Oryctolagus cuniculus: one gene and its partner. The protein of the gene in region 1 purifies or fractionates together with the protein of each later gene. This does not show direct contact. Links are inferred from orthologs where the notes say so. Each region holds a gene or a part of one and is shown on either strand. Other genes may lie near its edges.

Region 1 (7,634 bases):
AACGCCCTGGGAGGGCGCTCCTCATATTGTATTGTTTAGGAAGTAACAATGGGGAAACCTGTACCTGTTCAGTTCTGATACAATGTCTTCCGAACTCTTCCCACCCGCAGAGGACTCCAAACCCGCAGAGCCTGCAGACCGCTGGACAGATGGCTCTCAGCGCACAGCATGGCTTTGTTGGGGCACACACAGGCTGAGGGGTGGGGCAGCACCCTGACACAGCCCCACAATGCACATTCACGTGTATCCTCCCTCTCCACCTGCAGACTTTCCTGAGGCCAGCCGAGTGCTGAGAACACAGCCTCGCCAGAGGGGCAGCAGGGAGGGAGGCCCATGCCTGGCCCCTCCAAGGGCTCACTCCTCCGGGGGCAGGAAGCATGGGCTGTGACCTCCAGAGAGAGCCCTCACCTTTCCCTGCCACGGCCCCACCCAAGGCCCCTCCCGGGCCAGGTGCCTCCGCTGCTCCCAGCCCCTCTGCAGTGTGCTCTGGGGAACGGTCCAAGCACCTGCTGCCCCCCTGGTGAGCAGCTGGGCAGACCCTTTAGGGTGACAGCTTGGGAACTTGCTCAGGCCGCGTGGACCCCCAGCGTGAACACAGAGGAAAGGAAGGGCTGACCCAGGCCCCTGCTGTCACTACGCAGGCTTGGGAATGAACGGTTCCCCTAACATGGAAATTCCTGCCCCAAATGCCCATAGCAGAAGGCGACTCCCTCCTGTTCAATTTCTGGGGCGAAATGAGACTCGGGTCTCCGTCACTTCACTGTGGGGGCTGCTGTGTCTCTCTTCCAAGTCCCCCTCCACACAGGGCACCTCCCTGGGACATGTGTCAGTGCTACTCCATAAATGAATGTCAGAGGCAAAACCCAGGGAGGCAGGGCCCAGCACAGACACGGCGCCTCACAGGAAGGGACGCGTCCCTGACACCCTCCCTCCCCTCCCTGCACCCCCGCACCCATTTCCCTTGCATTCTCAGAGCCACAAGGATCTCCAAGCACCGGAATCGCTCCACAACGCGACAGCCCAGGGAGCGGCCTGCTTAACTGCACCTGGGTGAGGGGCACACAGACAGCTCACAAGAGAAGTACCCTGATGCGGGTACCTGCAACCGTCACACACAGGGCTGTGTGCAGACACGGCTGGGAGTCACAGAGCTCCGTGTTTATTACAAGACAACGGCAAGGTTTTCACCAGATTCCTTTCACATAGGCACGTATTTGTATTTAAGAACCAGAAAAGAGGGCACAAGATGCATACCCACGAGAGAAGAGACAGGTCGAGTGCCATCTGCCCAGTCCTGTGCCAGCCCCTCAGGCAGCCCTGCAGGTGCCAAGTGCATCTCCTTCCTGTCGGCCCTGATGTACCCGTCACCCCGGAGCAGCCACCACAGGCTGTGGCCAGCACGCACCCTCCCGGCCCACGGGCCCAGAAAGGGCTCACAGGATGACGAGGACGAACAGAGACCATCGTTCCTCACACACACCCCAGAGGCCACACAGAGGCCTGTGCGATCAGAAGCTGCTCATGACCGCAGAAATCACCGCATGAGATGAGCAGGGGGCACCAAAAACTAGCTTAGGGGCCCCCAGCGGGCTCTGGGCCCCTCAATTCACACCAGAGGGCCCACTCTGCAACAACCTCATCAGGCAACCTGTGCACAACACAGCCACTGGCCCCCCACGGGCCCTCACCCTTGCTGGTCGCCCATCCACCCTCCAGCATCACCTGCCCACAGCCTCCATTTCCAGCTTGTCCCCGACACCCTGACTTCTTGTCTGCAGAACACGGAGGCCACCCTGCCATTCTGCCCTGCCAGCTGCATCTCAGCCCGTGAGACCCTGCCACCGCCTAAGAGCACGTGGATGACAAGAAAGCAGCGTCACCAGCCACGGGACCAGCACAGCCCTTGTCTGTAGAACACGGAGGCCACCTTGCCAGTCTGCCCCACAGCCACTCCTCAGCCCGTGAGACCCTGCCACCTCCCAACAGCACACACTCCGAGTCCTTCAAATGCAACGATGACCAGCTAGGGGGCCAGCACAGCCCGTGCCCTGGCCCGGCGACCTTGCTGGGGTGGCGGGGTCCCCCTCCTCCAGCACCTGTCTGTCCTTCCCTCCCACGCCTCTCTCCGTGCCACACAGACGGTGCCAGCCACACCAACGTGGAACCACAAAGGGCTTCGAAGATGACATCAGTGAGTATCTAAGCATTTAAAGAGACGAGAGCAAACTGGTCCAGAAACCAGAAGCATGCGGCTGGGCATGGGTCTGGCACCACCCTTTCTGGGCAACTGTGGGAGTCCAGCTGCTTCGGGGCACCTGCCACATGTTGGCACCTCCAGGAGTGATGGCACCAACCAAATGACAGCAGTTTTAAAATGAACATCAAACCAAAACCCTGCACACAGCGCCCGGAGGGCTGCGCGCCTCCCTGCGCAGGCCTGCATCCGAGGACAGGGAGCCCCTGACCGGCACAGACAGAGGACGCGGCTCAGGAAGTTCGGGAAATCTGAGCTGACAGAAGGCGCTCCAAAGCCACCCAACCTGCAGTCGCGCACAGAGGCAGCAGGACCAGCCTGCTTCCAGCTCTATGCAGGAGACGAGCACGCAGCCCGTCTGCACCAGTGTGCAAAGACCCCGCGTTTCAGGGAATCTGACGGCATGATGGGAAACTCAGTTCATTCTTGGACCTAAGAGCCTATTTCTCCACCCAACTTTAAAAAGTTACCGAGAAGGGGATGGTATTGTGGCACGCAGAGGGTTCAGTGGGCACCTGCAATGCCAGCATCCCATAGGAGCACCAGTTCAAGTCCCGGCTGCTCTGCTTCTGCTCCAGCTTCCTGCTAATGCGCCTGGGAGGGCAGAAGATGGCCCAACTGCCTGGGCCTCTGTCATCAGGCTGGGAGACCCAGATGAAACTGTTGGCTTTGGCCCGACCCAGATGTGGCTATGTGGCCATATGGCCATCTGGGGAGTGAACCGGCTAATGGAAGCTCTCCCTCTGTCTCTCACCCTTCCAAATAAACAAACCAACCTCTCTTAAAAAGCCAGGAAATACTAATAACTCAGGTTTTGCCCCTCTGACAAAGGCACAAACAGGAGGGGCTGGTGCCAGGCACAGGTGTTTGAGCATTAAGCAAAGGTACTCACATCTTTTGCCATGTTACCAGGTCCAGGAAACCAATGCTATCAACATTCACTCTCCAAGGAAGAAAAGACTTTTCTGGTTAAAAAAAAAAAAAAGAGAGAGAAAAAAGAAAAATGAGCAAGGATGAAAAACTAAGTTTACAAGATGTCCCACTTTAAAGGAGACGTCTCCCCCGCCTGCACGAGGGCCTGGCGGCTGAGATTTCTCGCTAGAGCCTGGACGCAAGGCTCTCGCAGCGCTCGCCACCCTCAGACCCCGCGAGCAGCCCGGAACCCCCCCGCCCCGCGCACCCCAAATGGCCGGTCCGGAGGCGAGACCGCGGTGAGCCCGGGGCGCGCTGCCCGCCTCCGCAGGGTGGGCTTGGGTCCCCCACTTAGGCGCACACGACCACCCAACAGGGCACAGCCCAAACGTGCAAGTTCCCAGGTCTTCCCCCGGACCCTCCAGGGGCTGCGCGCCGGGCTGCTCGGCCGCCGACCGGTAACTCTGACAGGTGGGCTCTCGGGTCCCCGCCCGCTGCGATCTGTCACTAGGCCGCAGCCACCGCGCGCACTCCAGCCCCGCGGCGCCTCCCGCCCCGCCCCGCGCGGCCCGGCCCCGACCCCGACCCCGACCCCCAAGGCGCGGGCGCGGCCATCGGCCCCGGAGGCCAGGCCCCGTACCCCCGCCCGCCCCGCCCGGTCACCTGGGAGCCCCCGCCCGCAGCAAGGGCGCCTGGCGCGGGGCCCCGGCGCCCAGGAGCGCGCGGGGCCCGGAGGGCGCGGGAGGGCCGGGGCCGCGCGGCGCCCGCACGCGGCGGGGACGCAGCTCGGGGGCCGCCGCCCGCCCGCGCCCCGCGTGGCCCGCGCCCCGCGCTCGCCCGGCCCCGTCGCGCCGGCTCCCACCGCATCCTCCGCCGCCCGCACCTGGCTCGCCCGGTATGGCCGCGCAGTCTGGGGCGCGGGCCGCGCGGGGACACGGCCGCGGGGCGCGGGCGGGCGGCGGGGGCCGGGCGGCGCTCCCGGCCCTGGCGGGGTCCCTGCCCTGGGCCAGCGGCGCCGGGACGCGGGGCTCACCCTGGCCGAGCGTCGGGCCGGCGTGACGTGCGCGCGGCGCGGTGACGTGGGCGGCGGCGGGCCCGCTCCGCGCAGCGCGCCTGCGCGCATTTTCGCGCCTTCGGAGCCCTCCTCCTCCTCGGCGCCCTCCTCCTCCTCCGCCCCTCCTGCTCCCGCTCCTCCCGCCGGCGCTGCCGCCCTGGGGGAGGGGAGGGCCGTGCGCGCGTGTTCGAGCCTGCGCGTGCGCCGGACGGGATGGAGCCAGCCGGCGCTAGGGATGCGCGCGCGGGTCAGAGGGGCCACGTGTGTGCGCGCATGAGTGTGTGTGTGTGTGTGTGTGTGTGTGTGTGTATGCACGGAGCGAGACTGTGGGAGGAGACCCAAGCTGTGTGTGCGCACACAGAGCTGCAAGGGGGCCGGGGTGGGGGGCAGAGCTGGAGGCGAGACATGGGTGTAGGGGGTGGAGAGGAGGCACCTGCAGGGCAGGAGGCCAAGAGCACTTGCTGTGTGCATGGAAAAGGGGGCCAGTTGTGTGCTCGCCTGTGTGCATGGGGCTGGGGCTGCTGTGTACACCAGTGCGTGTGCACAGGGAGGAGAAGGGGTCAGGTGCAAGTGTGCACGTGGAGGAGTAGCAGATGGAGGCAAGCCAAGCGCGAGGGTGCCGCACAGACCAGGGTCCTGGGCGCGTTGGTTTGCATGGATGCAGGGGTGGAGGCAGGCGCTGAGCTGGCGCAGGTGTCTGGGCAGGGAGGGGAGGGGAGGGGAGGTCTCCAGCCCTGCTCCGCATCCCGGCGGCTTCCTCACAGAGTCCCAGCGACTCCACACCTCCTGGGCGCCAGGGCAGGCAGCCTTTCCACGGAGAGTGGAACTGGGCCCTGCCCTGCAGACACAGCTGTCACCTAGGGCTGGCGGCAGGCTGTGGAGGCCGGTCCCGAGCCCAGGCTGCACGGAGTCCCACACAGCCATAACAAGGGCTCTCCCACCCTGCACCCCTCTGCACACCTCCAAGTCCCACCCCATCCACACCCACTGCACCCACTCCTGCCCAGGAGAGCCCCACCCTGGCAGCCTGTCCTCTGTGCCAGCAGTTCGGTTTCTTTGTGGCAGAAACCTTCCTGTCTGGTTAGCACACAGTAGGTCCTTAGAGAAGGTTGATGGGGCTGGGGGGAGCGGTGTTTGGCCCAGGGATGAGGACACTGATCATGTCACCTGAACCCCACAGGGCTTCAAGGCCCAGCTCTGCCTCTGACCCCTAATCTGCACCCTTGGAGGCAGCAGGTGATGGCTCAAGTACCTGGGTCTCTGCCACCACATGGGGGACCTGGATGGAGTTCTTGGTTCCTGGCTTCTGCCTGGCCCAGCCCTGGCTGTTGTGGGCAGACTGAAGATCTCTGTCTCGCACACTCCTTCTCCCTCTGCCTTTCAAAGAGATAAGTAGAATAAGACAGCTCCTGACTCCAGTCGTGGGCGGCAGTGCTGAGAGCCCAGGAGCTGGGTGCCCACCACCCACGTGAGTGCCCTGCTAGGCTGGTGCACAGCCACGTGGGCATCTGGGAGTGAGCCAGGGGTGGGGCAGTCCCTCCCGCTCTCCCTCCGTCCCCCCGCCTCTAAGATCAAAACCCTAAAATCCTCCTGTCCCGGGAAAGCCTGTGTTCCGTGCAGTGGGATCGCGCCGCCGCCCGCCAGTCCCGATTTGCAAGTGTGTCTCCTGCATTCTGTCCTCAAAAGCCGTGCGTGTTCCTCGCTCTTCCTTTCCCTCGCTCTTCCTTTTGTAGGATCTTATTTTTCCCTAAACTCGGGTTAGGGACTCTCAGCAGCAGCGAGCCCCCTCCCAGCCTCGTGGAGCGGCCTGGACAGCAAGCTTCCCGAGCCCACAGGCCGGGGTGACCCACGCTGGACTCCAGGGGCCCCACAGCAGCGGCAGCTCCTCGAGGACACCCAGCCGCCAGGGAGCCTGCCTCTCGCTAACAGTCGGCGGCAGCTCCCTCATTCTGGGTGGCGGGTGCAGATGTCTTACAGGGCCCGGGATGCAGCCTTGAGCAGGCCGACCCCACGCCCTGCGGTGAGCTGACCCCTGGGCACACTGCGTCTCTGAGCCTGGCCGTGCAGGAGGCCTGGTCTCGGCGAGAGCCGTAGTCGCTGTTGAGCCATCCCATCCCAGGGGCTGGTGTCCAGCCCTGGGTGCACACGGGCACCATGCCGGCTGAGGGTGCCGGCCACGGCTCAGAAATGCTGGGCTCTGCGTTTTACCAGACGAAAGTGACAGGCGCTCCTCTCCCACACGCTCTCGGGTCTGCCTGCCCTGCAGGGCTCCCGGCTCCTGAGAGAGTGAGCGAGCGAGGACGTGGGCCAGAAGGCGCGGGCCTGGGCACACTGGAGAGTGCCCACTGCAGCAGGGCTGGGTGAGGTGCCGGCTGGGAGTGACACAGGCCACCCCTGCCAGGGCCGCCAGCACTGTGGACGCTAGGCCCAGCTGGAGCCTCCAATCGGCCCAGCACCCTCCAGTGCCCTCGCTTGGGCCCTGGGGCTTCCACCGGAGAGGTGATTCCTGTCACGCCAGCAGGGAGCAGAGCAGTTTCCCGAGCCAGAGGTGCTGGCTCACTTCACTGGTGCGCTGAGGGTGCATGAGGCCATGCTGAGGACGGGAGGCAGCAGGCGTGGTGGACAGGGAGCTCCTGGTGTGCAGGACGAGCTCCGAGCACCTGTCACGGGGGAGCACCTGGGCCTGGCGCCCACGGGAGAAAGCTCCAGGCGGACCCATGCTGTGCCCGAGGAGGTGCTGAGGACCCCACCCCTCCCTTCTCTCTGGCTCTGCCCTCCCTCCACGGGGGCCCGACCTCCGGGGACAGCACCCTCAGGGGATGCTGGCCACTTGGGGTCAGACGACGGGGAGGTCAGAGGACGGGAGAAGGGGGTGGGGAAGGCCGCCCTGCCCTCTTCCGGCCTGGTCTCCATGCACAGCCCTCAGGTGTGCAGCCTCCTGGGCCTGGGGCGGTGCTGGCTTCCTGCAGGCCCTCGGCCCCCTCTGCTGGGCCCCTGGCTGAAGAGGAAGGGAGTGGCTAAGTGGGTTAGCAGTGAGGCAGTCAGCAGGTGGGGCAGAGGCCAGGGCCTGGGCTCCAGGAAAGCAGAGAGGAGGTGGGAGTGCCCTGTGGGGGCGGGGAAGGAAGATGGCCTGGCAGCTCCTGGGAGAGGCAGGCGCAGCCACGGTGAGGGACGCGCGCGTCTGGGAGGGAAGATGGGCAGTGGGACCCACGTGATTTCACTCAAGTCCAGCTCCTCACACAAACCCACCTACCGCGCCACTCAGGGCGAGCTGCTCGACCCTCCCCTCCAGTTACCTCACCAGTTAGGAAGCCCCCGACCCACGCCAGAGTGCTGGGTTCAGATCCCGACGGCAGGCAGCTTCCTGCTAAGGCATCGGCCCTGCCACCCACGTGGGAAACGGGTTCAGCCCCG
Region 2 (7,035 bases), on another chromosome or scaffold:
CAGCATGGAGAACGGCGGGTGAGCGGCAGCACGTGAGACACACGCGAAGTCCCAGCCTGAGTCCTGCATCGGCTCACCTTCGTCTCCAAGCTGGTCCCCAGCCCCCAGAGCGCGAGCCAGTCAGACCTGACTTCCTGTTTCCTGTAACCAAGAGTTCCTGACACCAGGCCTTCCCCCCCACCGCCGCCTCTTCCCTTTTACACACCCGCAACTTGGGCCACAGCTGGCTGCACGCGGGCCCCTGCAGTACTTCCCCTGGACAAAAACCCTCCTCGCTCTCAGACCCAGGGTCCCAGGCTCCCTGGGGGCTGCCTCCTCCTGTCCTTTCCCTGCTCAATCCAGGAAGACAGCATCGCTGTCCGTCTGCCTCGTCTCCTGCCGGGCCTGAGCGCCTCCCAGGGAGTGGCACGGCCTTAGTGACCCCTGCGGCCCATTCTTCCAGGGGACGAGTCAGGATATGAGAGAGCAGACAATTCGCTCACGAAGCTTGCACTCTAAGGGATGAAGCCAAAGTAATGACGCCAAAAAAATCTTGGTAGGGCTGGCGCTGTGGCACACTGGGTTAAGCCACCGCCTGCAGTGCTGGCATCCCATGTGGGTGCTGGTTCGATTCCCGGCTACTCCACTTGCGATCCAACTCCCTGCTAATGTGCCTAGAAAAACAGTGAAGATGGCCCAAGTCCATGGGCTCCCGCACCCAGGTGGGAGACGAGGAAGAAGCTCCTGGCTCTGGCCTGGCTCAGCCCTGGCCACTGCAGCCATTTGGGGAGTGAACCATCGGATGGAAGAGCTCTCTCAGTCTCCCTCTACCTTTCAAATAAATAAAATCCGTCTAAAAGATAGATATATATCTTCCTGGTGAATGGAAGTCAGATGTGGTAGGAGACCACAGGCGGCTATGAAGCTGGGGTGATCACCAAGGGCTTCCAGGAAGAGGTGCCATTCAGGCTGAGACTTGTAGGATGCACAGCAGCAAACCAGGCAGAAGCAGGGAAGAGCATTTCAGCAGGAGGGAACCGCACGTGAGATCTCGCCCTGGGGATGAGCTTAGCACAGGGGAGCAACTGGAGCCAGGTCAGTGCAGCCAAAGCAAATCCAGACTGGGGCAGCAGAGAAGAGACTGGCAGGGCCAGCTGGCGTCTTCCCCTGGGGCAGGGTAGGAGTTTTGGTCTTTAGGCAAGCACGGTCAGCATGCAAGGATTTTGTGAGTAGGGAGGTGGCTTGAATGAGCCCACGTGAGCGCGCCTGCGAGCAGCCGGGGCGGGGACGGCACAGAGAAACCAGCAGCAGAGACGTTCTCAGGCCAGTGCCCGGTCCGCGCCATCCTTTCCAGCCTTCGCTGTTTCTGGCCAGCTTGGACATCACCATTATTGCCACGGACAGCGGCACGGACATCCCAGGGAAGCTTGGCACGGGCAGTGCCAGGGCAGCGCGCACAGAGCGGCCCAGGACCCTGCCCCAGGGGCTCCTGCTCTCACCTCGGTCTTGTCAGGCACTTCCAGTCTCGTCTGCGGCGGCGCCTTCACGGCAATCACCGTCTGCTCCTTGAAGTTGCCGACAGCACGGATGTCCTGGTACGTCACGTAGGCCAGCGTAGGGGCAGAGTCAAGAAAAGTGAGCGCTGGGCAAAGTGCAGACCCCAGATGCCAGGCGGGGCCCAAGCCTCTGACTCCCGCTTTCTCACACTGCTTAGAAATAACTCAGAACTGTAACCTCTTCTTTGAATGTCATAAGCTCCTTTGGATACTTTTAGACAGCCCAAGGAGGTGTGCATCATTTTCAAATGCTGCCCATGGGTCCAGTGCTGTGGCGTAGTGGGCTAAGCCTCCGCCTGCGGTGCCAGCAACACGTATGGGCACCGGATTGAGTCTCGGCTGCTCCACTTCCCATCCGGCTCTCTGCTAATGTGTCTAGGAAAGCACTGGAAGATGGCCCAAGTGCTTGGGCCTCTGCACCTGCGTGGGAGACCCGGAAGTAGCTCCTGGCTTTGGATCATCCCAGCTCCGGCCATGGTGGCCATTTGGGGAGTAAACCAGCAGATGGAAAATCTTTCTCTCTGTCTCTCCCTCTGTCTGTAATTCTACCTCTTAAATAAATTAATTAAAAATCTTTAAAATATGCTGCCTTATATCAATTTTTTATGTAAAGGCTTCCTCTCAAAAAGATCTTAGCTCTGAGAAGACAGGAAGATTTGCTTCTTTATATTTCTCACAATGCCTAACATCCTTCCAAAAATACCAGGCTAGATCCAAAAGCCAATTAGATGTGAAACCATTTGGGAAAATGCACAAACCATGCTCTCTGACCTCATTGCTTGCATCCCAGGAATCTGATTTAGGGAAATAAGTGACAATAAGGGGGCAATGTCCAACACACAAAGATATTCACCTCTATGAAAGCAGAAACCTAGACTTGTTCCACATACTCATTCTATAAGACAATCTGAAGTCAGTTTATAGACAGGTGAAAAAGAGATTGAGTCATGTGAAGTTGCTTTCTCACGGGTACGTCGTGATTGCATACTGGCATTTTCCTGTGGATATGTAATGGCAAATACAAACGTCTACAGTATTAATTGGAGAAGAACAGAACAAAAAATGCAATGTGCAGCAGGGTCCCCGAGCCTCGTAAGGAAGCGATGATGTGTTAGGCTGGCAGCCCACGGCTTCTTTTTTGTTCTATATTTTGCAGATTTAAAGAAATATACTTGGGGCTGGTGCTGTGGGGTAGCAAGTAAAGCTGCTGCCTGCAGTGCCAGCATCCCATATGGGCACCAGTTCGAGTCCCAGCTGCTCTACTTCTGATCCGGCTCTCTGCTATGGCCTGGGAAAGCAGTAGAAGACGGCCCAGGTCCTTGGAATTCTTCACTTGCATGGGAGACCCGGAAGAAGCTCCTGGCTTCAGATCGGTGCAGCTCCACCTGTTGCAGCCATCTGAGGAGTGAACCAGTAGATGGAAGACCAACCTCTCTCTCTCTGTCTCTCTCTACTTCTGCCTCTCTGTAACTGTGCTTTTCAAATAAATAAAAATAACCTTAAAAAAAAAGAAAGAAAAAGAGAAGTGTGCTTGTCTCAGGGCCACCACTGTGGTGTAGCAGGTAAAGCTGCTGCCTGCAGTGCCAGCATCCATAACAGGTACTGGTTCAAGTCCCAGCTGCTCCACTTCCAATCCAGCTCCCTGCTAATGCACCTGGGAAAGCAGCAGAAGATGGCTCATGTCCTTGGGCTCCTGCACCCACATGGGAGACCCAGAAGAAGCTCCGGCCATTGTGGTCATTTGGGGAGTGAACCAGGGGATGGAAGACCTCTCTCTCTCTCTCTCTCTCTCTCTCCCTCTCTCCCTCTCTCTCTCTCTGTAACTCTGTCTTTTAAAAATTTAATAAATCTTTAAAAAATGTATTTGTCCCATTTTGAATCATGAAAAGGTAACTCTAACAGGCTTGAGAGGAAAAACCACGGAGAAAGAGACAGATGGCCAGAGCCCTGGGAGGCGGTGGGACAGAAGCACACGCAGGCCCTGCGCCGGCCCCTCCACAGCACAGGATATCTCTGGTTGGCCTTGTCCTCGGTCAGGTCCTTTAAGCTCAGAGAGCAGCCCTGGATGAGCTGGTCCAAGGCCTGCTCCGTGCTCGTCAGCTCCTTCAGCTCCTGCCTCAGCTGCTGCTGCGTCCCGGGCCGGGTGGGGTCTTCAAACATTCCCCTGCCTCTGGGAACAGAGCAGCCCCCCACCGCCAGTGTCAGTGTCAATCCACACCCAGAGTCCCACCCCCAACCCCAGGGCTGCAGAGAAGGTAGGGGTGAAGCTCCAGGTCAAGGCCAGGTCAAGGTGCATGATGGTGGCCCCGGGGTGTGTACATCACATGGTCACCATCACTCTCAGGGATTGGAACTGGAAGTCGAGGCCCGAACCCCGCTTCTGGGGGGCTCTCCACTCGGTCCATCCCTAATGCCCAGCCTCCCCCAAAGGGCAGGGGACCACAGTGACCCCAGTCCTGAGTCCCTTGCCTGGGTTCTCTCAGGATCCACGCCAGGGACTGTAGGTCTGCTCTTTCAGACCCTGCAGGAGTGGGAAGAGGAGGCCCTGGTCCTCACGTCTCAGAGATGGAGGCTGGGTTAGGCCTTCTCAGCTTCCCGGGACTTCCCTGAGCTAGGAGATGGGGACCTGGGGAGTCCTCACCCAAGAGGAAGGAGCTGGGGTCCTTTTAGGCCTTTGCTTTTCCTGGAGATCATCTCCATCCTGCTTCCCACCTCCTGTTACTCCAGGGAGTGCACCTGCCCTTCCACCCAGCTCTCCAGCAGTGGCTCTGCCCCCAGCCCTGGCCCTGACCCTCACACCCCGGCACCCACATCCCAGGCACTCACACCCTGGCCCTGGCCCTGACCTCACACCCCGGCCCCCACATCCCAGGCACTCACACCCCGGCCCTGGCCCTGGCCCTGACCCTCACACCCCGGCACCCACACCCCGGCCCTGGCCCTGACCCTCACACCCCGGCACTCACACCCTGGCCCTAGCCTTGACCTCACACCCTGGCCCCCACATCCCAGGCACTCACACCCCGGCCCTGGCCCTGACCCTCATACCCCGGCACCCACACTCCGGCCCTGGCCCTGACCCTCATACCCCGGCACCCACACCCCGGCCCTGGCCCTGGCCCTGACCCTCACACCCCGGCACCCACACCCCGGCCCTGGCCCTGACCCTCACACCCCGGCACCCACACCCCGGCCCCCACATCCCAGGCACTCACACCCCGGCCCTGGCCCTGACCTCACAGCCAGGGGCTCTCTCCGCCCCGGCCCCGCCCACCGCTGAGCCCCCACAGCCTGGCGGGCACTGGCACCCCAGCCCCGCCCACCACCGGCCCCATGGCCCGCGCGGGCACTCACACCCACTGGACGTGGTTCTTGGCCTTCTTGCGGATGAGCTGGATGCCCTCGAGCACGTTGGTGATGTCGTAGATGCGCCGCTTCTGCACGGCCAGCACCTCCGCCGCCCAGTTCAGGTCCAGGACCCCATCGGCCGACTCACTCAGCAGGTAAATGAACTTCTTGGTGAGCAGCCCCAGCGACGTGTCGTATCGCGTCTTCTCCCCGGGGGACTTGGGCGCTGAGGACGGGGCGCAGGCACAACTGAGGGGGGCCAGCCCCACCTCTCGCCACCCTCTACCCCCTTGACAGAGTGCTGCGAGGAAGCACACCACCAACCTGGCTCCCGAGACAGAGCGACTCTCCTGAGGCCTGGCAGCAGCCTGGCCAACACCTGTGACACCTGTGACACCTGTACCACCTGCCGCCTGCGAGCCACTGCCGCTCCCACGGTCCACACTCCAGCAAAGTTACCCTCACAACGTGCTGTGCCCATTTCACAGATGCCAATACTGAGACAGAGACAGGCTCGCTCAGCTCGAAACTGGCCAAGCTGGGATTCAAACCCAGGCGCTTTGGCTCCAGTGTCTTCCTTTTAAACCCTTACCCTGCCCTGCCAGATAGGTCAGGAATTTGCAGCTGGGGTAGGGAGGTGGTGATAAGGCTGGATTTCAGGTTTTCACAGATGCACACTTGCTGCTACTTTCCGTGGGGCGCTCAGGTTTATCTGAGAGGAATCAGCTGTGGCAGGTTCATAAAAAAAGGTCCCATTCTTAATGAGTTGATGTCACAAGACCACATCTCAGCTGCAGCATCGCAGACCACAAGGGGACTCTTGCGACACAGCAGGCCAGTGACCCAACGAGTTCTGGAACCTGACTTTTACAGAGTGTGAGATTCCGCAGAGAGGGACTCAGAATCCCTAACACACATGAGGGGGCTTGTATGGGCTCAGGCCAATGCACGTGATGAAAAAGCTAGGCAGGGGTTTCAGGGTGGTTGTTTTTTGTTTTGTTTTGTTTTGTTTTTACCAAAATAAACTTGTATTTTAATTCTATTTCCCACAAACATTATGGGTAAAGCCGCCACCTGCAATGCTGGCATCCCATGTGGGTGCTGGTTCATGTCCCGGCTGCTCCATTTCCAATCCAGCTGCCTGCTAATGCTCCTGGGAAGGCAGCAGCAGATGACCCAACTACTTGGGCCCCTGTCATCCACATGGGAGAAGCTCCTGGCTTCTGACCTCGGCCTGGTCCAGCCTTGGCTGTTGTGGTCCTTTGGGAGGTGAACAAGCAGATAAGTGATCTCTCTCTCTCTCTCTCTGCTTCTGCCTCCCTCCGCCACTCTGCTTTTCAAATAAGTAGATTAAAAAAAAAAAAAAGCTTATTTATTTTCATCTATTTGAAAGGCAGAGAGAGAGATCCATCTTCCATCCACTAGTTCACTCCCCCAGATCCCACAAGAGCCAGGGCTGGGCCAGGCCAAAGCCAAGAGTCCAGAACTCCATCTGAATCTCCCACGTAGGTGACCGGGGCCCAAGAACTTGAACCATAGTCCCATTAGCTGGAAGCCGAATGGGAAGTGGAGGAGCCAGGACTCGAACTGGCACTCTGATATGGGAGGTGGGCATCCAAGCAGTGGCTTAACCCACTGTACCACAACCTCCATGAACTTCTTCCTCTTCTTGTGTGTGTGTGTGTGTGTGTGTGTGTTTAAGATTTAAAGGCAGAGTTACAGAGAGAGAGGGAGCTTCCTACCAATGTGTGTCCCGGGAGGCAGAGAAAAAGAGAGATCTTCTGTCTACTGATTTACTCCCCAAGTGGTCACAACAGCCCAGGCTGGACCAGGCCACAGGCAGGAACCTGAACCCAAGCACTTGGGCCATCTTCCTCTGCTTTCTCAGGCACGTAACCTGGGAGTTGGATTGGAAGTGGCACAGCTGAGACTTGAACTGGTGTTCATATGGGATGCTAGAATTGCAGGCAACAGCTTAACCGGCTGTACCTCAATGAACTTTTTTTTATTGTTGTTTTATTTATTTATTTGAAAGGCAGAGTTACAGAGAGGCAGAGGCAGAGAGAGAGAGAGGTCTTCCATCTGCTGGTTCACTCCCCAGTTGGCTGCAACGCCAGAGCTGGGCTGATCTGAAGCCAGGAGCCAGGAGTTT

The links.
Region 2: the proteins of TFDP1 (region 1) and E2F2 purify together in Homo sapiens (affinity purification with mass spectrometry; 3 studies listed by BioGRID and IntAct, with this or other methods). This does not show direct contact. The link is inferred for Oryctolagus cuniculus from reciprocal best matches to the Homo sapiens genes TFDP1 and E2F2.

The regions. Positions count from the first base shown.
Region 1 is NC_091440.1:499,186-506,819, forward strand, and holds the start of TFDP1 (transcription factor Dp-1), read right to left. Parts: upstream 4,282-7,634; 5' UTR 4,200-4,281; intron 4,189-4,199; exon of another isoform or gene 4,050-4,188; intron 3,854-4,049; exon of another isoform or gene 3,830-3,853; intron 3,457-3,829; exon of another isoform or gene 3,435-3,456; intron 3,220-3,434; 5' UTR 3,159-3,219; coding exon 3,147-3,158; intron 1-3,146. UniProt on the Homo sapiens protein: Can stimulate E2F-dependent transcription.
Region 2 is NC_091438.1:147,414,349-147,421,383, reverse strand, and holds part of E2F2 (transcription factor E2F2), read right to left. Parts: intron 5,110-7,035; coding exon 4,890-5,109; intron 3,706-4,889; coding exon 3,547-3,705; intron 1,594-3,546; coding exon 1,479-1,593; intron 1-1,478. UniProt on the Homo sapiens protein: Transcription activator that binds DNA cooperatively with DP proteins through the E2 recognition site, 5'-TTTC[CG]CGC-3' found in the promoter region of a number of genes whose products are involved in cell cycle regulation or in DNA replication.